Drosophila melanogaster: one gene and its partners. The protein of the gene in region 2 interacts with the protein of the main gene of each other region in a pairwise test. Each region holds a gene or a part of one and is shown on either strand. Other genes may lie near its edges. The genes, in order: Kap-alpha1, CG17896 and CG11380.

The links.
Region 1: the proteins of CG17896 (region 2) and Kap-alpha1 interact in a two-hybrid assay, tested with the Drosophila melanogaster proteins (one large-scale study listed by BioGRID).
Region 3: the proteins of CG17896 (region 2) and CG11380 interact in a two-hybrid assay, tested with the Drosophila melanogaster proteins (one large-scale study listed by BioGRID).

The regions. Positions count from the first base shown.
Region 1 is NT_037436.4:19,800,745-19,810,898, forward strand, and holds Kap-alpha1 (karyopherin alpha1), read left to right. Parts: upstream 1-6,487; 5' UTR 6,488-6,575; intron 6,576-7,168; 5' UTR 7,169-7,192; coding exon 7,193-7,393; intron 7,394-7,455; coding exon 7,456-7,940; intron 7,941-7,999; coding exon 8,000-8,263; intron 8,264-8,330; coding exon 8,331-8,830; intron 8,831-8,894; coding exon 8,895-9,076; 3' UTR 9,077-9,654; downstream 9,655-10,154. Other genes in the region: Ir76a (ionotropic receptor 76a), read left to right, coding at 702-864, 922-1,184, 1,247-1,370, 1,422-1,530, 1,592-2,096, 2,154-2,633; CG14102 (uncharacterized protein), read right to left, coding at 1-492; TORIP (torsin interacting protein), read right to left, coding at 3,258-3,488, 3,544-3,665, 3,733-4,285; CG34116 (uncharacterized protein), read right to left, coding at 4,624-5,259; Ccdc58 (Coiled-coil domain-containing 58), read left to right, coding at 5,458-5,493, 5,562-5,708, 5,766-5,888, 5,942-6,046; CG14104 (uncharacterized protein), read right to left, coding at 6,196-6,402; Cyp305a1 (cytochrome P450 305a1), read right to left, coding at 9,808-10,154.
Region 2 is NC_004354.4:487,828-497,543, reverse strand, and holds CG17896 (uncharacterized protein), read left to right. Parts: upstream 1-4,048; 5' UTR 4,049-4,126; coding exon 4,127-4,156; intron 4,157-4,520; exon of another isoform or gene 4,521-4,798; coding exon of another isoform or gene 4,799-4,801; intron 4,802-4,915; coding exon 4,916-6,448; 3' UTR 6,449-6,757; downstream 6,758-9,716. Other genes in the region: CG17778 (uncharacterized protein), read right to left, coding at 1,740-2,075, 2,427-2,474; CG3156 (uncharacterized protein), read right to left, coding at 6,973-7,242, 7,316-8,059, 8,120-8,401, 8,468-8,670, 8,916-9,122, 9,182-9,554. UniProt on the Drosophila melanogaster protein: Probable malonate and methylmalonate semialdehyde dehydrogenase involved in the catabolism of valine, thymine, and compounds catabolized by way of beta-alanine, including uracil and cytidine.
Region 3 is NC_004354.4:1,187,653-1,200,052, reverse strand, and holds CG11380 (uncharacterized protein), read right to left. Parts: upstream 8,746-12,400; 5' UTR 8,361-8,745; coding exon 8,340-8,360; intron 5,856-8,339; coding exon 5,458-5,855; intron 5,390-5,457; coding exon 4,099-5,389; 3' UTR 3,393-4,098; downstream 1-3,392. Other genes in the region: CG14625 (uncharacterized protein), read right to left, coding at 382-435; CG14626 (uncharacterized protein), read right to left, coding at 11,545-12,202.

The DNA of each region.
Region 1 (10,154 bases), on a different chromosome or scaffold from region 2:
ATCGATCAGAGTGAGATTGGTTAGACTGGGTAGCTCCAGGAGGAGCTGCATGATGTGGCCCCTGTCCCCACTTTTCGGCGGCGACTCTGTAACGGCGTGCATAAATATGATGACTGCCTGTCGCAGTTTGGGGCAGTGCCGTCCCAGGAGCCCCAGAAAGGGGTAGGTAAACGGCTCATCCCAGCTACCATGGGGCACTTCGCACCTGGACACTTCGGAACCGCACAGCTGCAGCAGGAACTCCCAGTCCGGAATGGTTTTCAGAAGCCGCACATTGATTTTTTTGTGGCGCGTTCGCAAAATGTCCGTCAGTACAACCTGGAATAGTGGATGGGCCCGGCCCAGATTTAGCTGGTCCTCCAGCACATTTATATATGAAAATATCTGATGGTAGCAGTCGTAGTTGAGATCCAGGAAACCGGGTCCCCCACTCATACTCTGCGGTCTTCCGACCAGGAAGGAGAAGGGGCAGCCTAATCCCAGTTTGTCCATTGTCCTGAAACTATTTTGCAGTTCAACTGTTTCCAAGTTGATAATACGATATTTCCCGTTTTTATGCGGCTTATATCGTAATAAATCTGCTATCGATAACATAACGGAGCAGCTGATGTTAAATTTTAAGTTTGAAGACTTTTTGGTTATTCCCTTTTTTTTTTAAATTTGTAATTAATAAATTTAATTATTTTACTTTTGTATGTAAGACCTTCATAGCATTTCAGGAGCAGATTCCCGAATTCGCCAGATATTTTTATCACGCCAGCATCTACTCCATTTGGAGATCTCTGCGAAATCGTTTTATGTTCGTTTACACTAAAGAGTTTGAGGACAAAAAAGATAGTTATCTGTCCGGTTATATATTCCAAGGTAGGATAAGTGCAGTGAATTGAAATAATTACACATGCTCACCATTTGAATTGCTAGATCAACCTAACATCTTGGTAATTACTTCACAATACCTGAACTCAAGCACTTTTGAAATTAAAACGAACCGATTTGTCGGTCCGCGAAACTTTAACAAAAACCCGGAGCCTGTTGAGTTTTACATACTCCAGCGTTTCGATGCCAAGGGTACGAAAGCTACTTGGGAAACCCAGAGTGCAATGTCCAGCAAGATGCGAAACCTCAAGGGACGCGAGGTAGTCATAGGCATCTTCGACTACAAGCCTTTTATGCTATTGGATTATGTGAGTTTTAATAAGTTTTCGCTACCAGAATATATCGCAGTAATTCCAGTTATGTGAGTTAGGAAAAGCCACCATTATATTATGATCGTTTTATGAACACGACGGATGTAACCATTGATGGAACAGATATTCAACTAATGCTCATTTTCTGCGAGTTGTACAACTGCACCATTCAGGTGGACACATGTAGGTAATTAAATACATTCAACTAAAGCTTATTGTCAAGGCAATCCACAGCTGAACCATACGACTGGGGTGACATCTACTTGAATGCCTCGGGCTATGGTCTGGTTGGAATGATCCTCGATAGACGAAACGATTACGGAGTAGGGGGCATGTATTTGTGGTAAAACTCTTGATTAATCAATCAAACATTTTGAAAAGTAAACCATTCCATCGCTTTCTAGGTACGAGGCGTACGAGTATATGGACATGACTCATTTTCTGGGACGATCTGGAGTAACCTGTCTGGTGCCCGCTCCGAACCGTTTAATCAGCTGGACGCTCCTGCTCCGACCATTCCAGTTTGTCCTCTGGATGTGCGTGATGCTCTGCCTTCTGCTCGAGAGCTTAGCTCTTGGTATAACCCGTCGCTGGGAACACTCGTCGGTTGCGGCAGGCAATTCCTGGATCAGTAGTCTGCGCTTCGGTTGCATCAGTACGCTGAAACTTTTCGTAAATCAGAGCACCAATTATGTGACCAGCTCGTATGCTCTAAGAACCGTCCTAGTGGCCAGCTACATGATCGACATTATATTGACCACTGTGTACAGTGGCGGTCTGGCGGCCATCCTCACTTTGCCCACTTTAGAGGAAGCGGCGGACTCTCGCCAACGTCTCTTCGACCATAAGCTCATTTGGACGGGGACTTCACAGGCCTGGATTACCACCATTGACGAGCGATCGGCCGACGTAAGCCCTACAAAATTAAATTTATTAGTACATTTTTTAAGATTCTTATTTATGCAGCCAGTTCTTCTTGGTTTAATGGAGCATTACCGAGTTTACGATGCCAATTTAATATCCGCCTTCTCGCACACGGAGCAAATGGGATTTGTCGTCGAGCGCCTTCAGTTTGGTCATTTGGGCAACACCGAGCTAATAGAAAACGATGCCCTAAAGCGGCTGAAACTTATGGTGGATGATATTTACTTTGCATTTACGGTGGCGTTTGTGCCGCGACTGTGGCCGCACTTAAATGCCTACAACGACTTCATTCTGGCTTGGCATTCCTCGGGCTTTGACAAATTCTGGGAATGGAAGATCGCCGCCGAATACATGAATGCGCACCGCCAAAATCGCATCGTGGCATCTGAGAAAACGAACCTAGATATAGGACCTGTTAAACTTGGCATTGATAATTTTATTGGCCTAATCCTGCTTTGGTGCTTCGGCATGATTTGTAGCCTTCTGACATTTCTCGGAGAACTCTGGAGGGGACAGGGGTAGTTTAATTGTTTTTATTTTCTATATACATCTACAATATCAAAACTAAACTGAAACATGGAAGTATATTTACATATAAGATATGATTTAAAGATGGACGCGGCAAGGTAGTTGCCCGCGAAATCCTCCGCCTGCACCGTTGTTGCAAGGGGATGTCAACGTGGCACGTTGCTGCTCACGTAGTAGCTAAAGTGTGTTGCGGCGAGTTGCTGCCCACAACACAGTCACCTCGTTGTCGCCTCTGTAGCTGTGGTGTGGTACAGAGTGCGGATCAGGACCAGGTGGTGGCCACGATCGGTGACTATAGCTGAAGTGACCAACTGGAATAAGCCGGTAGCAGGGTCGTAGCTCCGACTTGATATTCACGGCAGGTATCTTACGATAACATCACTTTATTTCGGCTGTCAGTTCAGAACTAAGTAATACAAAGAAAGATTACCCTATCTCGCACAAATCACGGCCGCCGACCAGCATCCGAAGTATAGCTTCGTGTGTCGTTCGTCGTCACACGCAGCTTTTCCTGATGTTACTTGTTAACTTATATATTTATCATCGAGAGCCAACAAAATTCTCTTTATTTATTGCTTTATAAGCTTTGTAAAAAGATTTTGAATAGTGTCTTTCAGTTTAACTCAAATGGAGCACCTGATCAGTAACTCGAGTAATTAAAGGATCCAGCTCGTGGTCCCCCAACTCCTGGTCCCACAGATCGTACAGAGTATCCGTGGCTAGATTGACGGAGTTGTTCACGGCGGTTGTGTTGAATGTTCGAAGGGAGAGGAAGATGACTGCATCCTCCACCAGAGGGCTGTAGGTATCGCAGATTGTGTGCAGGGCTCGAGCTCCATTCGGCGCAATCTGTAATAAGAAAGCTTTCAGAATATTGCAGAACGAAAGAATTCAGGGTAATCACTTCATTTAGGTTCACTATTAAAAAAACCTTTCCATCGTTGATTTTTGATTTGAATTGTTCAATCGCCAAACCGTATTCCTTCATGTGCTCCTTCTTCATGTGAATCAGCTTTCGGGGACCACCTGTTCAAATGGCGAGCGCATAGTGGGTTACATTAGAAATTTTAAATGAATATTGCGCTTTTCTTACCAAAGCACATTGAAGCCTCAATGGCAATTTCATCGATCAGTTTCTCCAGCTTTGGATCCTGGTGCAGGAACAAAAATACACTGGGGTGCTTGTCCTTTTTGTTAATCAGCCCCTCGATCCCCTTTTGCAGGGCTCTCCATACTTTTTCCTGCTGCTGGGGATACTTTGTCCTGAGATCCTTAAAGTCACACTGTTTCTCCTCTATAATGCTGGATCCGTACCCATAGACAACCAATAAACCAAATAGAACACCGGCAAGCGCTAGTTTAATACCGATGCCGTTGTGATGTTCATTGATAGAATTGTGCTGCTCCTGCCTTGAACTCGGCCTAGAAGTTGAAATACTGCGTCTTCTGGACTGATCGGTGGGTTTGGGAATACTGGGTTCGTCATGGGATTCACTTTCTTCCAGTTCGTCGGCCGAAGATGTCCCTTCCTCGTAGCTTTGTACCGGCTGCCTATTGTAGGAGTGGTCCTGGTCCACATCGTCCTTTGACTGGGAAAGAGCCCCAGGTTCGTTACCATGCAGTGGTCGTCTCGCCAGATTACTCATTGTTATTACAATTAGAACTGCTTTCAATTGAATAGTAAGAAGAATATAAAAAATGCTGAGAAGCTCAAAACAATATATCGATATCCAAAAACTGTATCGATTGTTCCTATAAAAAATGCCGAAGGAATAAAAATATATCGCAAAACATCCAATAATTTCCAACATTGTAAAATCAAAATTGATTATAAATTTAAAGGAAATATGAAAGAATCAATTTATCAAATAGTTTATTCCGATATATCCCAGACTTAGGGATACGACTTTAAAGATTAAACACAATATGTACAGAGTATGTATATTAGCTTAAATTAAGTCCTACTTAATCCTGATTAACTATTCTACTCCGCCGTTGGAACCGTATTCAGAGTAAGGCGTCGTAGCCTGCCCAATACGAAGATTTCGTCTATAGCTTTTTTGGCATAGAATTTTTGGTCCTCGCTGAGTTTGCGGTACTCAAGGGACCAGGTCTGTGCATAAACATTGGACTCCTCGACCCCACTTGCGTCGAGTGGTAGCGCGATCTCGGGAATGTCCGGAATACGGGCTGAAGCTGCAGTGGAATCTCCGCCGCTGACCGCTTCCCCCACAAAGGCGGCAACATCGGCAGGAGAGGGTTTTGTTTCCAACTCATCCGACATGGATTGTTGGTCATCATGTTCCTCATGATGCTCCTGGTCCGTCTCCTCCTTTCTGTCGTTGGATTCGCCCTTGGAATTGTAGCAGCAGAATGCCTGTTTCTTGAGATACTGCAGGTGACACCGGTGACGCCTCAGGTTCGTTGTGGATTTGTGGGTGAAGGACATAATGCTCCTGCAGCCGATGCAGAACAGTACGTGCTCCAGAAAGCTACCATCGTCCTTCTTGATCTTGCGATACACCCGCCACACAGTGCTCCGTGTGCTTTTGTCATTAACAGCCAATTGGTAGACGCCGGTTTCAATTTTCTCGTGAATATCATCGAATTTTAGCGGCATCTTGAATTATTTTGCTATTTTGTTTTGTTTTGTTCAACTAGTCTTTATCATCCACATCGATTGTCCATAATCGTGCTAATCGATTGCACCGCCCAGGTGGCAACCCCGATTAGAGGCACATTGCGCCGGCAATTTTACATATATCATTTTGTTTTTATTATTTTTTAAAGTGTTTTCTTGTTTTCCTACCTGGTTTAAATGGCGGCATTGTGCTTAGACTTTCTCGGCTTCCAGGTGGGGGTTGGAATATTGTTGTTTGGGTTAGTAGCCGGCATACTAAATGGCTTTAAGTTTCCAAACAGGAGGCACTGAAGAAGATGCGAGATGTGGACGACAAGATTATATATGCACTAAATGCCCTGCCAACGGAGTCGTTTAAGGGTCAAGTGAACAGTGAAAGCACCTGTCGCGATCTGTACGCGAAGCTCCAGGAGTCACACTTGGCCAGGGTAAATCCTGATTAAGTACAACACACGGGGATCTTGACAGATAGCTTCTCCTTGCAGCAAGAAAGCATACGCAGTTGCATAACAATTTCGGCTAGTAATCTGAAGAAGCTAAGGGAAAAGCGGGAGACCCAGCCGGATGATGTGGATACGGATAACCAGTTTAGGGCGGAGCAGCGCAAGGTAACCGAAATACCTAAGTCTTACTCTTAACTGATGCCTATGATCCTTTCCAGCTGCGGGTTCTCCAGGCCGAGCTCAATGTCGAGGACATCATTAAAGATCGTTCCTACAAGACCTTCAATGAACGATGCCGGTCCTATTTTCATGCTGGCCAATAGGTGGAACAAATGCAATGACTAGTTTTAGGTGGATTTATTAGCAGAAGTCTCATGGAACTGCCAAGCCAGAAGGCATTTACATGCACTCCGTTGTATTACAAGTTGTTTACAACAAGTACATAAATATAACAGTCTAAAAAGCACAAACTTTATTCGTCGCGGGGCAGGTTGTATGTAGCGTAAACCGATCCGACGGGTACGCATTTTAGGTTGGCCAAGGCTTCCAGGACGCGCTGGGTGGCATCCTTTAGGTCGTTGTACTCGTGCAGCAGTTCAATGATCTTCTTTTTCTGACCCTCTGACGTTTCATTTGTCTTATTGGCCGTTTTGCGCGACTTTTTCTTATTTTCTTTCATGTTTAAATTAAATGCAATTGGATTGGAATTACTGCTATCGGTTGATATCGCTATCGATAGCGCGTCAGCTGTGTGCATTGCATTTTGACAGTCCGGCATCCCCGTTCCTCACAACGTGTAAAATCTCCCGTCCCCTTGCATGATTAAGACGAGAAAAGGATTCTCCGGAACAGGTAAATTGTGTTCTAATTACGTATCTGAAGGCGCCTCTTCTAACCAGGAGTTGTGGTGGCTCAAAGAAGGGCGTAACCGGAGACCAGCGAATGGCTCATGCTGGCTGACCTAAGCCCGCACCTATACGCACAAACGCAAAGCAGCCGTGTGTGCACATATGTACATACACGTACAATGAAATGTGAAAGTGTTGTGATTGTGCATTTTGCCAGGAAAACTGAATAGTTCATTAAATGTGAACCTATTATATGTAAATTATTCGCCTGACAACGTAATCTTTATGTTTCCGGAAATGTAAAATTAGCCTAGAGCAGGCGCTAAGCGAATGTTCAGTGGTTACAGGGCGTAATAATCCTGGTGGGAGTGGATGAGAACATTGGGGAACACCTAGTGATGATTATAAACGTTCAATTCAACTAGTTCGCATTCCACGACGACCTCTACCTATATTTTCTAGATTATTTGCACTTTCGTTTAGCATTTGATCACAGTAGCGGCGAAAATCAAGTCGCACTCACTTTTTATCTGAAACCTGTCTTTACGACTTAAATTATTCTGTTCTCAAAGAAATATTTTTTTTAACTATTTCAAGCTTTTGAATTGCCAAGACGACGAAATGTCTGCCAGCCACAAACAGCGTTATAAAAATGCCGCCTTGGACTCCACAGAGATGCGTCGTCGTCGCGAGGAGGTGGGCATCCAGTTGCGAAAAAACAAACGCGAACAGCAGCTCTTTAAGCGACGCAATGTGGTTCTTGAGCCGGCTACATCCTCAACATCAGCCGGAGTGGAGAGCAACACCGATAACGAACAGCAGGTATATTTTGATCAAGTTTGGCCTGATAGCATAGTCTTAACTATCTCTCCATTCCAATGCAGGCTGCCGACATGCACATGGCTGACAGCAGCACTGGCGGTCAAAACGAGGAAGCTGCTGGAAGCGGGGCACAGCCATCCGTAATCAACGAGGAAATGATTCAAATGCTCTTCAGTGGACGTGAAAACGAACAGCTTGAGGCGACTCAAAAGTTCCGCAAACTGCTGTCCCGCGATCCCAATCCTCCCATTGAGGAAGTCATCCAGAAGGGGATAGTGCCACAGTTTGTCACCTTTTTGCGAAATAGCGCAAATGCCACGCTGCAGTTCGAGGCCGCCTGGACGCTAACGAACATCGCATCGGGCACCTCGCAACAGACCAAGGTGGTTATCGAGGCCGGGGCAGTGCCTATCTTCATTGATTTGCTCTCCAGTCCCCATGATGATGTTCAGGAACAGGCCGTGTGGGCCCTAGGCAACATAGCCGGTGACTCACCCATGTGTCGAGACCATTTGCTCGGCTCCGGCATTCTAGAGCCTCTCCTGCAGTAAGTTATAAATAATTATATTGATAAGATTGCGCCAAAGTAGGTGTGACTTCTTGCAGTGTATTGAGCAACTCGGATCGCATTACCATGATACGGAATGCGGTGTGGACACTTTCAAACTTGTGCCGCGGCAAAAGCCCTCCCGCAGACTTTGCCAAAATTAGCCATGGTCTACCAATACTGGCACGGTTGCTGAAGTACACTGATGCGGATGTACTAAGCGATACTTGCTGGGCCATAGGCTACCTGTCAGATGGTCCCAATGATAAAATCCAGGCTGTAATTGATGCGGGTGTTTGCCGTCGCCTGGTTGAGCTGCTATTGTAAGTAGTCCTGCTGCGCCATTACAAATTAAAATTACACTTATGATTTGTTGACCTATCCTGGCAGACATCCTCAGCAGAACGTGAGCACAGCTGCTCTGAGGGCCGTGGGCAATATTGTGACAGGCGACGATCAGCAGACCCAGGTGATATTGGGGTACAACGCTTTGACCTGCATTAGCCACCTGCTGCATTCGACGGCGGAAACAATCAAGAAGGAGTCGTGCTGGACAATCTCAAATATTGCAGCCGGCAATCGTGAGCAGATCCAGGCCTTAATCAATGCCAACATATTCCCGCAGCTGATGGTTATCATGCAGACGGCCGAATTTAAGACTCGCAAGGAGGCCGCATGGGCCATTACCAACGCAACCAGCAGCGGTACGCACGAACAGATCCACTACCTGGTGCAGGTTGGCTGTGTGCCGCCCATGTGCGATTTTCTCACCGTCGTCGACTCGGACATCGTCCAAGTGGCGCTAAATGCACTTGAAAACATTTTGAAGGCAGGTGAAAAGTTCCAGACGCGACCAAATCCCTATGCTATTACCATCGAGGAATGCGGAGGTAACGCTATTTATTTTTACTTTCAAATTTCCATTTAAATATCGATTCTGTTAATATTATATAGGTTTGGACAAAATAGAGTATCTGCAGGCGCATGAAAACCGCGACATCTACCACAAATCATTTTACATTATCGAACAGTACTTCGGCAACGAAGAGGAGGATAGCCGGGTGGCTCCCGTGGCAGGCACGCAACAGTTTGAGTTCGATCCGGACAACATGCCCAGCACCGGATTTAACTTTTAGCACCCTACCGCGCAGGACATCGTTTAACTATTCAAATACGAATCCCTCAAGTCCTAAACACACAGAAGCATATGCAACAGGAAGCGAAGCCTTGCCGCCGGGATTTAAATGAAGGCGGCCAGAGCACGGACATGAAAAATAGACCGCATGAGAAGGCGTCTGCCTTGCCCAAGTGCAGTCACTACTAGCATTTAAGGAAAGATGGTCGTTCGGTCGGCTCGTTTCTTTGTTACAATCACTCACCTGCTTATTGTATCAGCGTTTAGTTCTATAATTTTCGAAGTGGTCCAGGACCAGGCATGACGAGATTGCTTTCATTTAGTTCGATTGTACTAATTTAATATGTTATACAGAACCCATTGTATATGTTTTTGCTTTCCTCAAATTGAGTCTGTAAATATTTTCCATTTTATATATATATTTTCCAGCCCAAGTACGATGAGATCCTCACATGGTGTTGTTATACATTCTGATTCATTTGATCATTTTGTTATGCGAATCGCCGAATGTAAATTTGTTTAAATTATAAAGCATTGTAATTTAATTTAGAGGACATCAATAAACAACATCTAGACCACAGCTATGCAGATTGGCATAAGTTTTTATTGAATCTTTAAGCTTATAATATCCTCATGTGTAAATAATTTTCGGAATCCTTGGAAATATCCTAGTGGATTCAGCACCATATCTCTTGACCTATAATACCGACACCATCGACTCCAGTCACGAACTTAGGTGCGCTTGACGAACTGCACCTTGTATGGTTTTGGAGTAAGCGTAATCCCAGGCAGAAGCACCATTGATGGAGACTCTCCCGCCGGCAGGACAACGCTAAAATGCTGCACGATCCGCACTAGAAACGAGAAGATGCAGGCACGGGCGAGGGCATCGCCCAGACAACGGCGTCTGCCCATGCCGAAGGGCATGAAGTACTCGTCCTTGAAGCACTTGCCAGCCGAATCGATGAACCTCTCTGGGCGGAACTCCAGCGGATCCTTCCAGTGCTCCTTATCGAGATGCACTGAACGTAGGCTAATCAGAATTGTGGCATTTTTCGGAATGTCGTAGCCACCCAGCT
Region 2 (9,716 bases):
TGGGAAAAAAAACGCAAAGCGTATTTTTCTCTCGGTCTAGTGTGTTGTATAAACAGTTGGCCGGGCGATTCGACACTCACTTTACAATCATTTTTCCGTTCCAAAACTTGCTTTCCGTGGATTCTTGATAAGCTAGAAACAGGAGGTGACTCACCTTGGCTTTGGCGAATCCATCGGGGTTACAGGTGGGCAGGAAGTGGATTTCGGTGAGATTTAGTAGCGCCTGGACCTTCGGGTCCCCATCGTAGTGGGTGGCCAGGTATTCGGCCATATAGAGAACCATCTGACGACCCACGGCTTCATCGCCTTGTATGTTGGCCACCAGTTTAACCATTGGCCTTAGGAGATCTCCATTCTTGGACTCCCCGGTAGGTGCACTTAAGGCTAGGGCGTAGATGGGTCGATCCTCCAGGGATTTGCCTATTGTATAGGTCTGCGCCAAGTCGGGGTAATCCTTGGCTAGCTGGCTGAAAAGATCTCCTATTTCCTCGTTTTTTAGGTAGTGAGGACTCTCCAGGAAGTTGTCCTCTTCCTGGATGACCCGGACTTCGCTGTATTCTCCGACTGCGCAGCCGATGATCAAGGCTAGGCAGAAAAACAACATTTTGGGGATTCTCGGGGACTCTCCCGGAGCGCTCGCAGTTTCTGTACACGTAGGCAGGCAGCAATGCGATGATTAAGACACAAAACGCAGGCGCGCCACTTTCAACAGAAAGTGGATGCTGAATGAATGAACTATTTTCCCCAGAACCACTTTCTTGAACTTTCTTAGTGCCAATTTTTAAACTTGTGCCACAAATGTGGGCACGCCACGCACACAAACGTAAAAAAACACCGACACACCGATGCAAAGATCTACGCACACCCAGATGCGCGCACAATAGAGCTGCAGTTATTGCACTTTCTTTTCGTACACTTTTTTCGCAATGATCTTCTCGCCAGCCTAGGATGAATCAGCGTATATTCGCTTCTTAAACAACTGCCATGATACATACATTTTATTCGCAACACGGAGAATATAAATAAAATCGCAAATGAAGTCACGAAAGTACGCGAACGCAGCAGCGACCACTGTTGCCACTCGGCTGCGATCAGATGACATTGCCAGATGCGACTTAGAGGAGTTGCCAGAAGGTTGTTGTTGACAACCGGATGGCGCCAGATTTAAATATATGCGTTCCTCGTCTCCCGAGGTTTAACTAACTTTTATTTTCTCTAGAGCTCAACAAATAAATCTCCAAAAATGAAACTAACACAAGAATAACCATTGTGTGTGGCCTAAATATGTACGGTCTGTTATATATTATCTTTTAAAACGTGTCGTATCAAAAACTACCTCAAAATACTATTATGTTAAGGCAAAATTTGGAAAAGTGCATTCAGACATTCCGGTTCGTCCTAAAGAACGCATATCATCGTAAATGTTGTTTACTCTGTGTTAAGCATTGTGTTTTTGTGTTCTTAGAGCAGTGAGTTTTCGTTATTCCTGCCTATCACTGGAATAAAACACCAAAAAAAAACCTTAATTCGCATACAATGGGTGTGGTTTTCTTAATGTGTATACATGTATATAAAGTATAGGATTTTTTTCCGAGTCTAAATGCTTGGAGTGGGCTTGCGATATATAGTTACACAGTTGATTGCTTCAGATTGGTGCCAATTTAGTCCCTACATTTGCGTCCCCATTGACACATTTACCGCACCTATTCGCCAGGGAGGCCAATCAATAGGGTCATTGATTATTCATGAATACCAACCCCTGCTCCATCGAGCCCTTTCTCGGGCTTTTTGCGACCCTTCTGGGAGCTAGCTATCCGCTGTTTTAGAGTGTGAAAAGTCTGCTGCATGCTGCGCATTTGGTACCGTATGGAGCTGCTGACGTCACGCTGCAACTGCTGCACCTCGCGAATGTCCTTGCGCAGATTCTGGTACTCGTTGGTCACCTCGCTCATCGACTCGAGCAACTCGAGGACCTCCATCTCGTCCATCTGCTCCATCGTCGTCTGTTCGAGGCTGCGCTCCACCGCGTGCAGTTTGTGGGCCATCGTGTACAGCTGCGATCCTGCATTGGCCACCTTGAAGCAGAGGGAAATGTAGGTTACCTATGGATTAAGTAATTGAATTTTGGCCGCTTCCGTTCTCTCTTCAGCTTAGGGAAGCATTGAAAAGATATTCCCAGGAGAACTTATGATCAAATCCTGATAACAACATCTTAAATTAAGTTCGATAAACTTGGATTAACAGTCTACATTTAGGTACTTTGGACAAAGATCTTAAATACTCATATTTCGGCACCAACTGACAATGTGGCTTATGATTGTAATAGACCGCCATGGAGTGTCCCTAATTTCTCTCACTACACTCTGAGTGCCTATACTTCTGAATGAATAAGTGGCTATTTCTGTTTGCCTGGTCGATAAGCTCACCGATTTTTCCAGAGCGCTGATGTCCTGGTAGCCCGGCGTGGCCTCCATCTTTTCCAGATCCCAAGCTGCCTCTCGACCTCAGCCTCTTGGCATGACAGTAAGTAGTAAGTCAGCGCAGCAAGTCCATACTGCGGCAAATAACAAAATTGTTTTTGCCTAACTTAAGGCGCGTCGTCCGGAGCGCTGACAGTCCAGTCCAAGCTCTCCGAGCAGAGTGAGCGAGTCCTGCGATTGGTCCCACTATTTATATGCTCCTGCACACAAGTTGACTTCCGCATTCCGCAGCAAGAGAGGGAGCGAGAGAAAGAGCGAGTGGCAGTGCTGGTACTTCTTTAGCTTGCTTAAAAACAACGTATAAAAATATGCTATATTTAATCGAATTCTTTTTAGTATATGCTTACACTTTTCGAAGCCAATGGATTTTTTGTAAACGTTATGGATTTCAAATGACAGAACTTTTTTTTTGTAATTCCTTGATTCAACTACCGGTGGGCATCACTGAAGAGCAGAAAGGAGCTACTATTGTCCCATTGAGAGACAAAGCAAACCACTTTCTTTAAAAAAGAGAAAGCCTTTCATTTGTGTTGCATCTATTTCCATGGATTTTGTTTTCCCGGTGCAGGCTAGTCCTTTTGATTATGTTGACCAGGAAGCGGGGCTGCTAGCAAAAGCTTACCCTGCCCGATGATGAAAGCGAACTTGCTATTTTAATAGACCAAAAGCCTAAAAGCAGGCAGACAAATTTTCATTCAGAAAGTGAAAAATGCGCCAGCCTGCTTCTGTCCACACTGCGTTCCAGGAAACATTTTTAGGATTTATCTGTTCAGCTAGGAAGCACTTATCACCTAATTGATTATTTTTTCCATCCTCGGTTAAGCACTAGTATTAATATTTGATTACATTTCGTTTAAGTTCATATGTACATGTGTCCATACGTACATATGTACATATGTACATACGTTGATGGAAAAACACAAATATACTACATTGGATCCGCCGGTGTTTATAAATACCCTAAGCCAGTTCAGCATGTCTAGCATCGAAGATCCAATACACTTCCACTGTTGTACACTTAAAAAGTTGTTACAATCTAACTGGAACACATAAACTGGCTTGATTACCATAAAATTGATTAACCATAGAGTATGCATTTGGGTACTACAATACTACACTGCCGTCACCATAGCTAACATTCCCTTCCAGCAGGGAATTGACAAGAACGCAAACACCGCAAAGCAAGCACTACACTCACACACACATACTCACAACGAGCCCCCAAAAAACAGCAACAGCAACAATTGCGAAAACAGAGCAACACAAAAACAACAGCTGTGCCCCCGGTTCCTAACGGTGTGTGCGGTAGCAAGTTACATACATATGTGCGTGTACACGTGTGTGTGAGCATCAAACTATAACCACTTGCTAATGTAAAGCACTTTTTGACGTGGTCTTCGCCTTCGCCTTCGTATATCAACAATCGCCACACCATGCCAATACCACACCACACCACCATACATTACCTCAAACCTATACAGATATATGTACATATATATTTCCATTCATGTATATGTGTAGAGAACAGTGGAGAATAACTGGCATCAGAAATGGGCGGCTGCGCTGCGTTCAGTTTCAGTGTAGCCACCGTTCGGAGAGCACGCGATCCGATCCCCGCACCAAATTCTCATCTCCGTATCCCCAAGATGTCCCTAGTGCGATTGATCGGAGCAGAGGTGAGTTTCCAATTGGTGGGTGGGTGTATGTCCTATAGGCATGCTAGGCTGCCATCCTCACCCTGACATACATACATACGTGCATCCATCCATCAGCATTTGGATCGTTTTGGCGCTCTCTCTCGTTCTCTCTGACACTGGTGTGGCCGTGAATTCGGTAATTGGCGATGCGATTGGCCTTGGGCATGTAATGTATGCACTTTCGGCGCCCATCTCACACTCCACCCACTCTAGTGATTGGAATGGCCCACGGGTGTGAGCGGCGAACGGGCAGTTGAAAACAACACATGTTACGCAATACGTCGCTGCGAAGCGGAAGAAGTAGAACTAGAACCAGAATATTAAGCAGATAAAGCGCACAAGGCGAATTCGCGGGGAATTTAGCGGTACAATGTTTGAGTTGACGTTAAATCCAATAAAACGCGATAAGCGGTACCTTTCCACGACAGGCGCGCCATGAAAATCTCGAATTTGCCAGATGGACACTGATAAGCGTGGGCGGCTGCCCCCCGCGCGCCTACCACTCAAGTTATCAACACCCAAAAAAATAGACCTCACCCCACATTAAACGGATTTGTCCGGCCGTTGAGGTTAGGATTGCGAGCACTGGGCAATTTGCAAAGCAAATGAAAGGTGGACTAAATGGTAAATTTTTGGTTTAGTATACGTGGAAGTGGGAAAATAAAGTACGCTTAGCGATCGGAGTTCATACCTTTTGTACTGGCTGTTTACCAACTCTTGTCCCTCCTTTATCACCAGGCCCGCCATCTGGCAAAGAGGTCCTACTCTTCAGCCGCTCCCACAACCAAGCTCTTCATCGACGGCAAGTTCGTTGAGTCGAAGACGAACGAATGGATTGACGTGCACGATCCGGCCACCAACCAAGTGGTCACCCGCGTGCCCAAGGCCACACAGGCGGAGATGCAGGCGGCCCTTGAGTCGAACAAGAAGGCTTTTCGCTCGTGGAGCAACCAGTCGATCCTCACCCGCCAGCAGGTGATGTTCAAGCTGCAGGCTCTCATCAAGGAGAACATGGGTGAGCTGGCCAAGAACATTACCAAGGAGCAGGGCAAAACCTTGGCCGACGCAGAGGGCGACGTGCTCCGCGGCCTTCAGGTGGTGGAACATTGCTGCAGCATCCCATCTCTGCAGATGGGCGAAACCGTAGCCAACGTGGCCAGGGACATGGATACGTACTCACTAGTGCTGCCCCTCGGAGTAACCGCTGGCGTTGCGCCGTTCAATTTCCCGGCCATGATACCGCTGTGGATGTTCCCGGTGGCCATCACCACCGGTAACACTATGCTGCTGAAGCCATCGGAACGTGTGCCTGGTGCAACCATGTTGCTGATGGAGCTTCTTAACGAAGCTGGCTGTCCGCCGGGTGTCGTCAACGTAATCCATGGCCAACATGACGCTGTGAACTTCATCTGCGATGCTCCCGAAATTAAGGCAGTGTCCTTTGTGGGCTCCGACCAGGCAGGCAAGTACATTTACGAGCGGGCTGGCAAGAATGGCAAGCGGGTGCAATCTAATATGGGCGCTAAGAACCACGGCATCATCCTGGGCGATGCCAACAAGGAGAATACTTTGAACCAGTTGGCAGGTGCCGCCTTTGGAGCTGCTGGTCAGCGTTGCATGGCATTGTCTACGGCTGTCTTTGTCGGCGATGCCCAGGCATGGATTCCCGATCTGGTGGAGCGTGCCCAGAAGCTGAAGGTAAATGCCGGCCATGTACCTGGAACTGACGTGGGTCCCGTGATCAGTGCCGCCTCACGCCAACGCATTAATGACCTGATTGAGTCTGGGGTCAAGGAGGGAGCTAAGCTTATCCTGGACGGCAGGAAGATAACCGTGCCCGGATACGAGGATGGATACTTTGTGGGACCAACCATCCTAAGCGATGTTACGCCCAGCATGAAGTGCTACACTGAGGAGATCTTTGGCCCTGTGTTGGTTATCCTGAAGGCCGACACCTTGGACGATGCCATTGGCATTGTAAATGCCAATCCTTATGGAAATGGTACCGCCGTATTCACCACCAATGGAGCGGCAGCCCGCAAGTTTGTCAACGAAATTGATGCTGGTCAGGTTGGCGTGAATGTGCCAATTCCCGTGCCCCTGCCCATGTTCTCCTTTACCGGAACTCGTGGCTCTTTCCGCGGCGACCATCACTTCTATGGCAAACAGGGTATCAAATTCTACACCCAGACGAAGACGGTCACCCAGTTGTGGCGCAAAACGGATGTGACCCACACCCAGGCGGCTGTGGCCATGCCCACCATGAAATAGGCAGAACCTGAAAAGATTCTGGAGAAGATTCAGATGAAATGTTCCACGTATTGAATTTCTGGATGCTTGCACACAGGACGTATTTAGAAACTAGATACAAAGAAATTATTGCATTTATTTGTGTGCCTGTTTATTAGATTTAAGACGATTTGAGACGAAACGTGTATCTTGAAAATAATTGTATGTAAATGATAACAATTAAACGATTATTATGTAAAGAACCGTTTGAATATTTTCTTTGAAAAGTAATAAGTTTCCGTAGAATAAAACCATTTATGTTTTAGGTGTTTGTATTCACCCAAAGCAACGAAAGATGCCATTAGAAATGTTTTTTTTTTTTTTTTTTGGAAGAAAAGACATCGGTTCCTTTATGGTCAACGGTGTATATTTTACAAAGAGTTAAAAACATTTGATTTATGAACACATATCCCGGTAACAATAGCACTAGCTGGTCCACCACCAAGGAGCGGTGGGGCCACTTCTAAGCCGTTTAGTCCAACTTATCTTAAATTCCACACCCTCTTTTAGTTTCGGCTGCCGAACGCTTGGCTGGCCACCAGTTCCCGGAAGACGCCCTCCTGGATGCCCATAAGCTCGTTGTAGCTGCCCTGCTCTACAATTTTTCCGTCGCTTAAGACGGCGATTTGATCCGCATTTCGAATTGTACTGAGTCGATGGGCAATTGTCAGTACGGTGCGTCCCTGGATAAGATTGTCTAAGGCATTCTGCACCAGATTTTCCGAAACGGCGTCCAACGCACTGGTAGCTTCATCCAAAATCAGGATAGCGGGGTTCTGTGGGGGTATGAATAAGTTTACATTTAGGAAATTGTAAATTGAGTAACTAAGAATTGAATTTAGACTCCACCTTAATTAGAGCCCTGGCAATGGCTACTCTTTGCTTTTGTCCGCCACTGAGCATCATTCCCCGTTGGCCGACGAGCGTGTCTAGTCCATCCGGCAGTTGGTCGGTGAACTGGCTGACATTTGCATCTTCAATAACCTGCTGCAGTCGCTCCGGGCTCGGTGTTTCGCCAGGATTAGCGCCATAAAGAATATTCTCTCGAATGGAGCACGAGAAGAGCACCGGCTCCTGACTGACGGCACCAATGTTATTTCGCAACCACTGTGGATTCACTGTTCGCAAATCTATGCCATCCAAATGCACTGTTCCCCCTTGGGGGTCATATAGTCGGAGCATTAGCAGAGCTATCGTCGTCTTTCCAGATCCTGAACGACCCACTACCGCTGTGGTTGTTCCCGGCATCAAATTTAGCGAAAAGTCGGTGAGGACGGCCGATTCAGGTCTAGTTGGAAACGTAAAGAATACATTCTGGAATCCAACTTCGCCCACCGGCTTCTCCAACGGCACGACACCTTTGTCAATGGGTATAGAACACTCCCTGTCCAGGATCTCCCAAATACGCTCCGAGGCTCCAATGCCTTTGTTCAGTTGGCTATAGAAGTTGGACAACCCATTCATTGAGATGGCCACATAACCGGCGTACAGCATGAAGGCTGTGAGGGCTCCAATCGTCAGCGAGTCTTGTAATACCAAGGTTCCTCCATAATACAGCACTGAAATAATGATGAAGTTGCCACAGAAGCCAGTCTGAAATAAGGGATAACAGATTTTGATGATTTTCCTAAGTACCTTTCCTTTAGGTCTTACCAATCCAAAGAAAATAGCTCTGGCACGTGTCTCTTTGTAGCCAATCTGGAGAGCTTCATCCAGTTTGCCATCGAAGGCAGCTACTTCCTGTTGTTCTCGGCAGAAGGTCTTAACCGTTTTAACATTACCAAATCGCTCCTCCGCAAACTTCATAATCTCGGCGTACTTGTCTAGTTCTACTTTGGTGATCCGCCTTACGTAGCGTCCGTACACGATGGCCATGCCCGCCATCGCGGGAACCACCAAGGCACTCACGGCAGCCAACTGGGGGGAGGTGTAGATCTGCAATGAAAGAACTGGATAAAATAAGGTTTTGGGCAGTGCAAACCACTTTTTGTTATATCATACCATCATGCCTGTGCCGACGCCGATCATGGCTACAGATCGCAGACCATCCGATACGTTCTGGCTCAACGAGGTGCCCACCATTAAGGTATCGTTGCTCAGCCGATTTATTAGTTCTCCAGTGCCCTTGGTATCGAACCAACCCACCTCCTGCATAAGCATAGATCTGTATAGCCGGGATCTTAGACTGCGCACTATTCGGAGAGCTGAAACGAGAAACAGGTAGACATAAGACCTATATGAATTGGTTCTTATAACGTATGCTTTGTATAAAGCGAATAAGTGGTCAAAATAAACGCATTCTACTTCACAGTTCATTAAATCGTAATTGATTAATGTAAAACAATCCAAGATGGTACAGTTCCCAGAAGATGTTCATATCTTATGAGGTCGAACGACTTTCCAGGGCTAGCACAGTGTTAGAGATGTGTGTTTTCTACATCCCACTCACCCGCATTCCCAAACAGATGGACGCGGGCAAAGTTGGCGAATCCGCCCAGCACGAAGATCCCGAAGAGCAGCACCGAGTACTCGCCCAATTTGGCCATGGCTGCGCTATCCATGCCCGATTTATTAAAGACTACATCAATGACCTTGCCCAGGAACAGAGGAACCGACATGGTGATAGCTGAAGAAACTACCAGACAGCCAATGCCCGCTGAGAAATAAAGAACATAAGGATTTGGGAAATTTCAAAATGCGTTGTATGCTAGTAACCTGTCAGCACCCATTTCTCCGATTTAGTCAGGCTGAGCAGGCGGCCGTACTGGGATCTGCCCATTTTGACGGGGGCGGGCACGATTCCGGCTCCAACTGCAGTTGGTAAGTTCGCCTTTGCATTCCTGGCTAACCACTTGCTGCTCTGTGCAAATCCACGTCGCATGCACCACCACGGCATGCGGAGTGTTGGGTGCAGGTGGCTATGGTAACGGTTCGGCGGTGGAAGGCTGTGTTGAAGCGACCGGGCGGTTCGATGGTGGAGGCACCTGCCCAAATGGTGATTATATGATGTGGACAACCTTATTTGGCTGCTTTTCCTGACCCGGAGAGTCGTGCAGAGGTGTGTGAGCCTCGTACAGTTTAACAGCATTGTGATTCTTGTCTCATTCAGAAATGTACAAAAAAAAACAGTGGATTTTTTAAAATGATTCGAATTATAAAATAAACAACACGAATCTGTAACGGTGCTCTGCTTCTTTCTCGGTGGTGGACGATCAGCTGTTCCAGCAGTGTTTTTGACAAATAGCTAAAA
Region 3 (12,400 bases), 700 kb from region 2:
GAAATGTAATTTTAGCGGGATAAGCTTCAGCAGTTCATTACTGAAGATTCAAATATTAATGTTTTTAAAAAGTTTTAATTGAGTATTTTTACATATTTTTTTCACTTATTTTCGTTTTTTATCGTAAGATACATTTATATATATTTTTTTACATATTTATTTATATTTTTTACAAATTTATCACTCTTCTTCACTGAATTATTAAATAAAAAAAATCTCATTTTCAAATGGGCTGTTTTTTTACTTCTGGAGATTCTCTCGAGTCCAACATTTATGAATTTTCAAATACATCACTACACTTTGGATCACTGGCCACCAAAAAAAAAGGTACTCCTCGTGAATCGAATTATCCGAATCCTTGGACGTGAGCGCACTACTTACGATGATCAGCAGACACAGGCACCATTGCCGCCGGCTGAGAATGTTTGCTCCCATATGGACAAGGTGGTGCTCCTGATATTGAAGATTACGGAATCGAGATGTGAGCGCTGACATCATGGCGCGCCAGAGTCTCAGCTGGAATTGTTAGCGGCCAGCTGTCGAGGCGAGGCTTTTATAATGATGCGAACCGCTGCAGCGGAAAATTTATGCGAATGTGCGCGCCAAAGAAAAGCGAGAAAAGTGCAAGTGCAAGCGAAGAGAGAGAGACAGTTGGAGATAGAGAAGGGGAGAAAGATCGCTTCACTTTCGATGACAATTCGAATCGTAATAAGCCATCGACGCACAACACGGCGTATGCGTGATAAGTTCGCCCATTATAAGTCGATAAGGTGCAACAGAGAAGGCGATAGGCCAGCACGAAAGAGAGAGGACAACGGGACAACTGGTTTATAGTTTTTAGTTTCTTGGCTTCAGTTTCGGCCTCTGTTTAAGCTGCCACTTTGATGGCCAATTAAGCCATAAGCTAAGCCAAACAATCCCCATTCCACCACAGGCAGTTCAATGAAATGTTTGCCGGCACAGGTGGGTAATACCCGTAATTGACTTGTAAAATCCTCGCCACCGAAGGCATTTATTGGGTTAAACGACAAATAGTGGACAACGGGCAGTAGTCACTAACCCACTCTGGAGTGGAGTCCGGAAAGCAGCAGGACTTTTGCAAGTCCAATGACTCGACAGGGAGCCTTTAGCACCCTTTAAATTAAACTTGAAACAAATCCATTAACACTAGATCTGTCTTATTTTATGTATTCTTAAATTTCCCCATTTGCTGTATTCTCACAGTGTTTACATTGCGGGCAGTCGGTGGTTGGTCGTGGCAGATCTTCACTCGGTGGTTGGCTTCATGGTCACTGATTCAGTGCATAATAATTAACAAGGAGCCCAGACAAACGGAGAAAAGTGTTCGCTGATTTATGATGATTTTACCGAAAGAGCAGCAGCAATTGCCGTTGCCGAAAACCAACAGCGATGATTTCAATTTCGATAAAGAGATCCGGACTTAGAGAACTGGGAGTACGCCTTGGAATAACTTGCCAATTGGCATTTCATTGATTTCCCTTACGTGCTGGCCGGGGATTTCTTTATTGCGGACTATGGCGCTGGCCCACAGGGCGTATGATTTATATTTTAATATTCTGCATGAGAAGCGAAAAACGAAACTGAAACTGAAAATGAAACAATTGCCACACTTAACACTAACGATAATAGCCGTAATAATAAAAGCGAAACAACTTTGCAGCGGCTAAAGCAAAGCAAAACAAAGCTGGCAAAGCGTTTCGGCTCCTCCACATATGTGCAGATCAACAACCTTGTCAGCAGTCGAGTGCGATTGCCATAGGTACATAGATACATATAGCCATGGCTATCCATGCCCCGTTATGCGGCCAAAAACTGCAGAAACTACCAAATCCACTACCAGCTGCCAGCTGCCAAAGAAACAGCTGTGGCAGCCGCACCAGATGAACAGTCTCAATACCAATTGATTTGCCAAGGATTGGGTTTTTAATTCAATTTAACTAATTCAATCAAAGATTTAACTGCGGCTTGAAATGTATCGTAAATGTATTTAAGTTCTTCATCTCATACATCTTCATACACCGATCAGCATTTATTTATTTCTTTAACTTTCCTATTGCCTTTGCTGCACTGTGGCAGCTGCAACGCTTCGACAATGCTGAAAAATGTTATGTTTGTGGATCGGATTGCTTACATCTTTCATCTCCCACCCTGCCACACATTGTAAAGCAATTAGTTGTTTATAGCCGGAGCTGGTATTTTCTTTCAAGATGATCGTTTAGATCTGAAAAGTGACCTCTTCTGCTGCTAAAAAACGCAAGTTCTGGCCAGAGAGATCAGAACTCACTTTACGGCAAATAAAGTGACAGAAACCTACTTAAGTCCGACTTAATCTAGTGCACCAGTCATCTACTGTAATTTGCTACGATTTGCCGCCCCAACAAGCCCAGTACTTTCACATGGCGGTCTCTTCCTTTTTGCCACATCCATCTTGCCACATGGATGTTTACGTAAAGATTCGAGATACTACTGACAAACAATTAGCATAATCAGCTGCCGCAATGGATGGTAAATTGTGCCAATTTCTATAATTTTGAAATGCGGCAGCGCCTGTCGACTACTTTCCACTCAAATTAAAAAGCGGTCGGCAGCTTCCGCACTCACTGGCAGATTCGCATTTTCATTCGTCACTTGCATTTGCATTTGCATTTGCATTCCCAATGCCGTACCTCCTCCTCCCATCGGGATGGTGATCTCTACGCCTGGCCATTTTGCACGGGGAATTCAGAAGTGCGCCGTCGATCACATTGTTTTGTTTGAACCTTTGGGAAGCCTTCCAATTTGCTTTCAAAGTAAGGCCATTCAGGGAATCAGGGTCTTTTCCCTGTCCCGGAATCTTATCAATCATCCAGTACTTCCTTTCGCTGTGCCGAAAAAGTGAAAAGCACCTGCTTTAAGATCTGAATAAACGATTGCTACGTCCCAACAATGGACCCATAAAACGTCAGCTTCACCAGAAACCACTCCACAACAAGCAGCCACTGTGTAGCACAGATCATATAAACTTATTTTATGTACAATGATGCTGTGCATTTGAGGATCTTGTTGCGCTGAACTACAGGTATAGTCACACACCCAGAACTCTTGCCATGCTAACTACTTGACTTGATAGGGAAAAGAGAACTCTTTGGAATGGCGAGGGCCATCATCCTCGCAAATTTCCTCCGGGATTTTCCCCGCATTTTCCAATTGCGTGCCTGCTAACAATTCGGTGTATTTAATTTAACAAAAATTTGTTGTAACACTCGTGTCAAAATCGTTCAGCTTTTAGTACTTCAGTTACGCCGGATTTGATGCTATTTTTATGGCTTTGCTGCGTGACTTCCGTGAATTGGCCAAATATTCGAATAAAATGGAAAGAGTTATTTGGTTTTCAAATTAATTTCTTTTCGGTTTAATCATACAAAAATACAAGTACATAATATAGGTAAATCAAGAAGCACATTAAGACTAAATATTGCACACATGATCAGCAGCACATTTTCTTGGTTAACAATATAAACAACATAAAAAAAAACGTCGTACAAAATAATGAAAAGCGAATGTGTCCCGGCAGCACCTCTTCGCTAAGAAAAGAAAACTATGCCTATCTTTAGGCGCCCTCTTTTCCGGCCAAAAGTATGCCTTGGCTGTGTAGCTCAGGGATTGCGGGTAGGTGTTGGATGAGATTTGGAGCTGGAGGATCACCCCGGGATCGTTCTGCTCCTCTAGCTTGGAATAAATACTAATGAGCGGATATCAGGCACAAGAAGCAACCACAAATTGTGTGTTAAGAATACGAGTGAACGTGGGCATGGCACTCACTGGAATTTTACTGTCTTGCTGGACTTGATCCCCATATTCATAATGTACGGATGTTTGAATTTGTTTTAAAGATGGCTTGCCTGGATATATACATAGAAAACGTGCGTAAGCGATTTAAAATTTAATTCTAGAATTCTAAGGCATCCGAAAAAACCTTTGATAAAATCGTTTGAAGATTGCCAAGTTTAAAAATTGGTTTAGTTCATCCAGGCAGAGATAGTGCGTTCGGTCAAATGAGTTTCCATGCCTTCGAACATCTGAACATTTATCCAGACCTCAGCCCTCGAGCAGCTGTGTCGTCTTGTATTCGACAGCCGAACCCATTTCAGCGCCCAGTTTCTCCCTCACATACTCCCTGATCTGTTGGAGTCCCTTGTCGCCCGAACTGGGACCCACGTCCCCATCCGCGGGTTCCGGCTTGGCCGCCCTTTTGCCCTGGCGCATCTTGATCGCATGGGCGTGGTAGTTGAAGGGGCGTTCGCCCTCAGGCTGGTGCTGGTGCTCCTCGATGTTGGTGGTCTGCTGTTGCGGTTGATGCTGCTGCTGCTGGTAGGGGTACGGATTAAAAATGACCTTGGTGTGGGTGGGTCGTGGGTTGTTTTCCGTTATGGGAAGGCTGTGGTCCGCCTCCGGTTCCTGTTCAGGACCACCTGAAGGACCCGTCGGTGGATCAGATTCTGGAACGTATATTGGTTGCTGCTGCTGCTGCTGCTGCTGAAGATGATGATGGTGCTGCTGATGATGGTGCTGCTGTGGTTGCGGCTCCGGTTCCGTTTCCGGCTGGGCCATTGCTATCAGATAGAGCTGAGGCTGCTGCTGCAAATGGGATTGGGGCTGAGCGTAGTAGAACTGTGTGGGCTGCTGGTAGTCCATGGGCGCGTAGTATTGTTGCGGCTCATATTGTTGCTGCTGCAGCTGCAGCTGTTGCTGGTGGCGACCCTTGTAGCTCTGGTAGACATCATCGATGGGTGCGTACTGGACGGGTGCCGGCGTGGGTGCCAGTTGGTGGGCGTAGCTGACTTCCTGATGGTAGGTGGCCGGTTCTGGTGGTCCATATTGCTGCGAAGGATCCACATGCTGATGCTGCTGTTGTTGTTGCTGCTGATCGGCCTCCTGGAGCAAGCTGAGGTACTGGGCCGCTCTGATCTCCAGATATTGCTGGAGAAGGGTCTGCAAATGGGCGGCGTACTTGGCGGGTCCTGGAATACGCAAGACAATGACGGGCTCCTGATATCCCCCGTGGCCACTGGAACCACCTGCACCACTGGGACTTTCCGCTTCATCCTGGGGCAGATCAATCTGCGGCTGCTCGGGAGCTGTGTGCTGCGGTTGGGTTTCATAGCTGGTCTGGGGCTTAAGCTCGTAGGAGTACGAGGGCTCAATGGTCACGCTGGTCACTTGCTCGTGATTGTGATGATGTTGCATTGCCGGCTGGTGTGCCTCCTCCTCCTGCTCCTCCGGATGTGGCTGTGGAAGGGCAAAGCCCGAGGGAATATCATGCTGTGAGTATGGATAGAACATGAACTTGGGCGGCGTGTAATCATAGCCAGGATGCGAGTAGCCGTATCTGTTTGGATATAGAAGTTAGATGGGTTAATATCTGGTCAGTCAAAATGCTGTCATCCATGGTCTCACCCCAAATCCCCCTCGATGGTCCTCTTGCTGTTCTTGCCGCCGCTACTCGTGGAATTATCCCTCTCCACCTTGATCTTGATCTTGTTTCCGTGCAGTTTGAACTGCTTGTCCAGCTCCTTAATGAATTCCAGGTCATCCGCCGGCAGATTGCCAAATGTCTCGGTTAAGGCCGGTGCTTTCGTGGGGCTCTTGGTGGTTGCCGATGTGCCGATCTTCACGCGTGGCTTACTGGGCTTCAAAGTGGTTGCTCTGCTGATGGAAATCGGAACTGTGGTCGGCGTTTTTGTTGGTCGCTTCTTCAGGGTGGTAACCTTTTTGGGAAATCCATTGCCCTTTGAGCCACTCGCCTCTGACTGGCTCAAGCTGCTGGCCAAGCACACTATAGCACTAAGAGTGCCCTGTGAAATATAGACAAACACAAGGTAAAATGTTTATCAATTTTATAGGACTTATACATTTAACTAAAGGAATTGCTTTTTTGATATTATTTAAAGCTTAGCTACCAGCTTGCGAGTTGAAACAAACAGGAAGTCTATCGAAGTTAGCTTTTCAAGAATTTGTAACGATTTAAAAATGTTCCAAAGCTGGAAAGACATTAGGTTCGTTGTCGGAATCAACTCAAATCAAATTGTGAAAATTGTTGGTTTCGTTTTGGCCAATCTTGGTTCGGGCTCAAGGTAAGAGGCAAAGACAATAGAGGGTGACAAAGGGGGAGTTGGAGACAAAAGCTGTGGTCCATCTATCGCTCTCAATATCGATCGTTAAGCCATTCGATGCACAACACACGCTGAGAAGAGGTTTCACATTTGACATTTCGTCAGGCGAATTGGTGTTGTAATTGAATCTCGATGTCTTTGAGTTCGTGTCTTGAGTCTTTTCATTTTAGCGCTTGTCCGCAGTTCGTGCCTTCAGTCATTTGATTCGCAAATGGTGGTAGATAACACTAATGGTTCGGTTTTCATCGATCAAATGATGATTATCTGGGTGACGATTATGGGTTACGGTCGCTAACTGTTACTGATACATGCGAATTATGGGTTATTAGCCTGATAATGTTTCATTTAATCCAGTTTAGGCTAGGTTCTTGTCATTACTGATCATTACTCTTTAATTTCAGATTTACGGTTCAAATCGAATTAGCCCTCCAAGTAGCAAAATAGTTTACTGACTTTGCATGCCATAATTGCAGCATGCGCCTCTCCCAGTTTTCCATGTGCAGCAATAATTTCGTACTTCGCTTGGTTAGTTAAGTTTTAATTGCACTTTGTGACTCGATTATCCAGTGAGTGAGTGAGTAAGTGAGTGTGTGTGTTATGTTACCCGAAACTAGGACAGTGTGTCAAGTCATTTTAATAGTCGTTGTCGTCTCTTTACTGCTGGTTGCTTATGTAGCAGTTGTTATTTAGCCTAGTCGTTAAGCAGGAAGAGTTTTTTTTTTGGCACACTCGCCTTGCCACAAGTCAGCCGCAACAGCGAATAGCTGCGGATTTTTGTCAAATGCTAGCATGAGCTGTGGGACCCGAAGAGCGAACTGCTTTTATGTAACCTCCACCGCTCATACAGAAGGAGCAGAGCAGCAACTAGTTAGATCTGTCTTCGTATTGATTTATCTTTACCAATTATTTTCTGTAATAATTTAATTTAATTGCATCAAGTCCCGAAGTCGCCTTGCCTTTCACTTGCCGCACAAAGAATCGAACCGAGTGGACGGGTTGGTGGGCGATTTTGCGCCAGAGATGAGATTCCCATTCCCGCATTGCAAATTACGAGCTACAAACAACGGCAAGTCGGGGCAAACGATCGTCACGCAACGCGTGCAAATTAGTCGGACTTGGATTTTTGCCCAGTTTGTGTGCTGCGGTGTGTTAGTTATTGTTTCACTTTCGTTGTTGCATCACCAGCAGCAGCAGCAGCAGCAGCAGCAGCAGCAGCACAGCAGCTGCTGCAACATCAAAGCCAAGCACAACAATAAAATGTAAATTAGACGTCTACAGATTATCCTGCCAGTGGCTGAGCGGCGCCTTCTCCCCCATCGGATGGGGCGTAATAACTTTATGTAACCACACGAGTGGCGACTCCAGAAAACGAGTCTTTCCAGCGCTGCGAAGGAAAAGACTACATCCAAATATGTGGATAGACTAACAATATGTACGAATATTAATAAAAGTTAAATTAAGCTTCTCGTTCGAACTTCTTTGTTGACATAGTTGTAAAGTGCCCTTATAAATTAAATACACGCTATTGCCTGACATTTAGGTACTTTAGTACGTTGGTTCAAAACTTACTTACTTAATATATCACAAGATGATTTCTTTTATGAGTAATGCAAATAAATATTTATAGCCGCTTGATTCAATGTGAAGACACTTTACCACCTACCACCCCTTAATTTCGTTCAGTGTGCACATTTGCGTAAACGAATCTCTGCTGGCCACTTCGGCAATCGCCAGATTTGTGATTCTACCATCTTAGCGTCCAATTAGTGGGCGATTGACGCAACTCAACCCCACTACTCCTCCATCGTGCTGCTTGATAGATGGATCTGGACACGGACTGGCAAAGTGGGCAAGGGCAGGGTCAGATAGCCGAGAAGCCGAAGGGCAGGAGTCAGTGGAGCGAGTGAAAAGGTCAAGATTATCGAGATATGGAGACACCATAGACAGCGGGAGTTGGGAGTTCATTGTATCGTACACCTGGTCGAGTTGGTTGAACTGCAACCACTTTCTAAGCCGGCTTGGCCAGCACTGCACCACTTGAATGCAAATTAATTTGTCAGCCGACGACTAGTTTTTATCCCGCACAAATTGCACAATTCGATTGGTGGGTGGGTCTATTTTCCGGGTTTTCTAAAGGAGATTGTATAATCTTACTCCTACTCTTACCAATATTAACGCTAATCTCATGGCGATTCCAGGTATCAATGCGCATGCACAGCGACTTTTTCACAAAATCCGAATTTGATATTGACGTTATATGTTATATGTAATAATATATGCACTTTTCAATACATTTGTGTCTTCGAGAACCACAAAAACAAAAAATACCAAGGGTACACGGCCGGGCTGGTGGGTTTAAGTTATGTTGGTTATAGTGTCTATACGAATTTGGTTTTGATTTTCGTCTCAGATTCGTAGTCGGAATCGGAATCGGAGCGGTGCTAGCGTTCAAAAGTCGCGCCTCTTACTGCGGATGGCGCTGGCGATGCTCGCGGTTTTTATATCGCAAGCACAGCATAACAACTTGGTCTTCGGGTTGCATCAAGCTGGAATATCGGCTTCGGAGTTGGAGTTGAAGTTGAATTTTTGAAGCTGAAGCTGAAGCTGAAGCTAAAGCTGAAACCAAAGCCAAAGGCGAAGGCGAAGGCGTATTGTGGACCGGGGATCGGGAAAAGAAGACCGAAGTTCACCACCAATGACACCGCACGTAGCTGTGTGTGACTGAAGGTGTAGGTTGCCTGGGATTGCCGCAACTGTAAACAAAGTGCTGGAGTACTTTAGATGCTGGTCAGATACAGAGAGATAAAATGCGGAGAAAAAAAAGTTGCGGAATTGGGAAGATGTAGTTTGAGGCACTGGAATACGAGTAGGGGAGATGTTACAGATGTGCCCGTTTAAATATTCCTGCCCACTTTGTTCATTGAATAGTTTCCATTGCCATCTAGGCATGGAGCTTCCCGTGCTGAGAATCATAGATGATCGACCTTGATTCGCCATGGGAGAGCAATCTTTCACAAAGGGCCATATATATATATATTTATATATATGATTGTATAGTAGATAACCAGATATGGAGGGAACTGGGAAACCTTTCCAATTTCTTTGGGGACAAAACGGCGACGCTTTTGTCTTGGCTTTTCCAGTTCAAGTTCAAAGCCATAAAAATATTGGCGTAACTTTGGCTTATGACAAAGGCCTGGACTCAAAAGACCGATTCCGGGGCCTTTCATTTCGGGTGAATACGTTTTGGGTTCATTATTATTATTATTTCTGTATTCCGCTGGCCCGCATAAAGCCACAAACCAATCGAAACAGAAACTGAAATTTGCATGAAAACAATTGCAGAGCATCCCATCCAGATGGGAAAAAAAGAGAGTGCCGGAGGTCCGCGAGTAGTGGCACTTTAATTGGCGCATTAAGTTGTTTTCGCTTGGGCTTGGCCTGGGATTTGGAGTGGCTTTTCGCTTTTGGCTTTGCCCAGCGCCAAAGGAGAAATGGCATAACAAGAGTGGCGTTTGTGTTCGGATCGTCGCTGGTGGGATTTGGTAATCCATTTTGTCAAAAGACACAAGACACGACACTAAGCGGACCGAGATAACGATAAAAGGCCGTAGATAACTGAACACTGCAAGCTAAAACCCAAAAACATCATTCGCAATCACGAGGCGGCACTGTCGAAAGTGTTTTTGCCGCCTGGTGGTACCCTTGCATTCGAAATGTGTTGGCCGTTTCAGGGTCGTCGACAATCTCCGAAAGTGACATGGTGAAGAAAGTGCATGTGGACAAAGAATCGAAACATGTTTGTCCATTTAGGTTGAAATAGGTGATGTTTAATCGCTTTGACTCTCCTCCTTTAGGGTCTCCCTCTGTCGGCTAGCTATTTCGATTAAGTTCCCATTGATGGTCGCGCATCGATAAGGAGAATACGCAATTGAAATGCTGGTCAGCCCGCCAGTTCGATGCTCTTTTGTGCTCGGGCACTCCGATCCATTCGATTCCGCCCAATTCCGATGCCAACAATGACCGGAGCGAATCAAAGCCGCGGCTAAGAAAGCATTGCCAAACCAAGCGGCCGAACCTCAACGTTAGCTCGATTTCAACAATTCAACTAGCCATGGCTCATTGTTCAGAGGTGCAACAATGTCACTTAGTCAGCCGTCATAATGCGGCATTATGATTATTTATTGTGCCGGGCAAGTCCCATGCTGATGAAGAGGCCTACGGATCGCATCGCACACAAAGCCAAAATCGAGAAGGCTGACCGTGGGCATCCTCCACAAAGCGCGACCCTTTCTTTATCAATTCGAATGCGTATTTACGATCGAGCAGACGATTTATTTCGGCTCGTTCAACTGGAGCGAGATGTGACCCCACGAGAAGGTCACTGGCTTTGGCTCAATACAGTTCTCTATAATGCGACAGAAACATCGAGATTTTATATGCTATTTCTCTCAGTGTGGTCTTCGCCATCACCGGAATGAACGGCAGCCAGGAAATACCCTTTAAAGCAGGGCAGGGCTGCCCGTCATCATCATCATTATCATCCTTATTTTCCGTCTGTCGTCTGCATATTTAATGGGTGACAAACAATGCAGCAATTTTGTGCTTCATTAACAGCCATGAGATGGCCAAAAGAAGCGCAGCTCAGCGAAACGAAACGAAAAAAAAAAAAAAAAACGGCAACACAAACAACTGCCACAACTCGAAATTCGCAAGTTGCAACTGCAGCATCTTCGCTTCCTACTTGCATAAATCTCCACCTGTCCGTCTTTCAGTCTCGTGTCTTCTGTCTCGTGGATTTCGAAGCCGCATCTCTGCATCTCCGCATCTCCGCATCTCCGCACACTGCCACACAAATCATAATTTTGTGGCCACTCCGAGTGGCATCGCACCGTAATTGTTTGTTATTGCTGGCTGTTTGGTTTATGGCCGCGATTACGTGAGTAAAACCTCTGGGGGAGAGTCCAAGGAATCGAATCGGTGGCTTTGGGGCTCAACTGGCTCATTGACAAAGTCACATATTGCACATTTGATGCGATTGGCTTCGCTTTTGGCCCGCGATGGCCTGGACTGGCCTGGCTTAAATGGCGAGCTGAAGAGTTGCAGAGCTGGGGATGCGGCTTGTTGGCCATGTGTATGCTGTTATGTGATCACCGATCAACTTTATGACTTTAGGAGAAAACTAATTTCATCACGAGACTGATGGCAATCGGTTCTATATTCATAAACATTCGAACCCGTAATGACACCAAAAGACCCCATTATAAGGTTTAACAAAATACAATCTCATTTTTGCGGCAATAAATATTCGTATTTGTAGGTAAATTAAGAAACAAAAAATTAAATCGTACGCTAAGCCCGAACTCGAACTCTAAGGTTCGGGTAAGGTTTCCTTGACGATTCTCGACCGGTCCTCCTGGGAATCTCGCTTGTAGAGCCTCAAGTGCGCCGGAGCGGGATACGCGAGTGTTTGGCGTGCGATGGGCGTGAATCCTTGCTGCGGCTGGTGCTGTCTGATCAGGCGCAGTACCTCCCAGCTGGGAATGTACGAGTCGATCAATGATTTCGAGGAGCGTCCAGCAAACAAATCGGGCGTGGGATCCGGTTGCGATGGCCGGAATGGCCTGATACGCTCCGAACCCGGTCTCCGAGTGGTGAAGCTCACAAAGCTTGGGGGATACGGTATCGGAACCCGTGGCCCATTCGCGTAGTGCCGCTGGGGGGGCTGAGCGGGAGCGTAGGCGAACTGTTTGGACTGCTGGACCAGCAGGGGCTGACCCGGCAGCTTGTGGCTGGTTGCTCGGTTGCCCTGGGCGGTAAATCCGTAGATGAACGGCGCTCGGGCATGGGGTGGCGGAAGGGGGCGTGGCACTGGAAGGGGCAGGGCATTACTGGTTACATATGGAATGGGGCGCAGCCCCAGTTCCAAGTCGTAGGGAACTATGGGATTGGCAAATGGAGTTGCAGAAGAGGCCACTTTCGTCGTCGCTGCCGAGGGCGTGGGAGTGGGCGTGGCAGCTGTGGGACCACTGGAAAAAACGAAGAGAAGCTGATTAGCGAACGGATTAAGTCCTTTAAATTACAGCAATCATTTGCTTCATTTGTCGGAAGCTAATGCGGCTGTAAGTGAAATGCTGCCTTTTCAACACTTTTAGCCACTAACTAACTAATTTGGCCATCCGAAGTTGGCTGAAAGCGATCATTGGGCCCAAAATAACGGCTCCTTT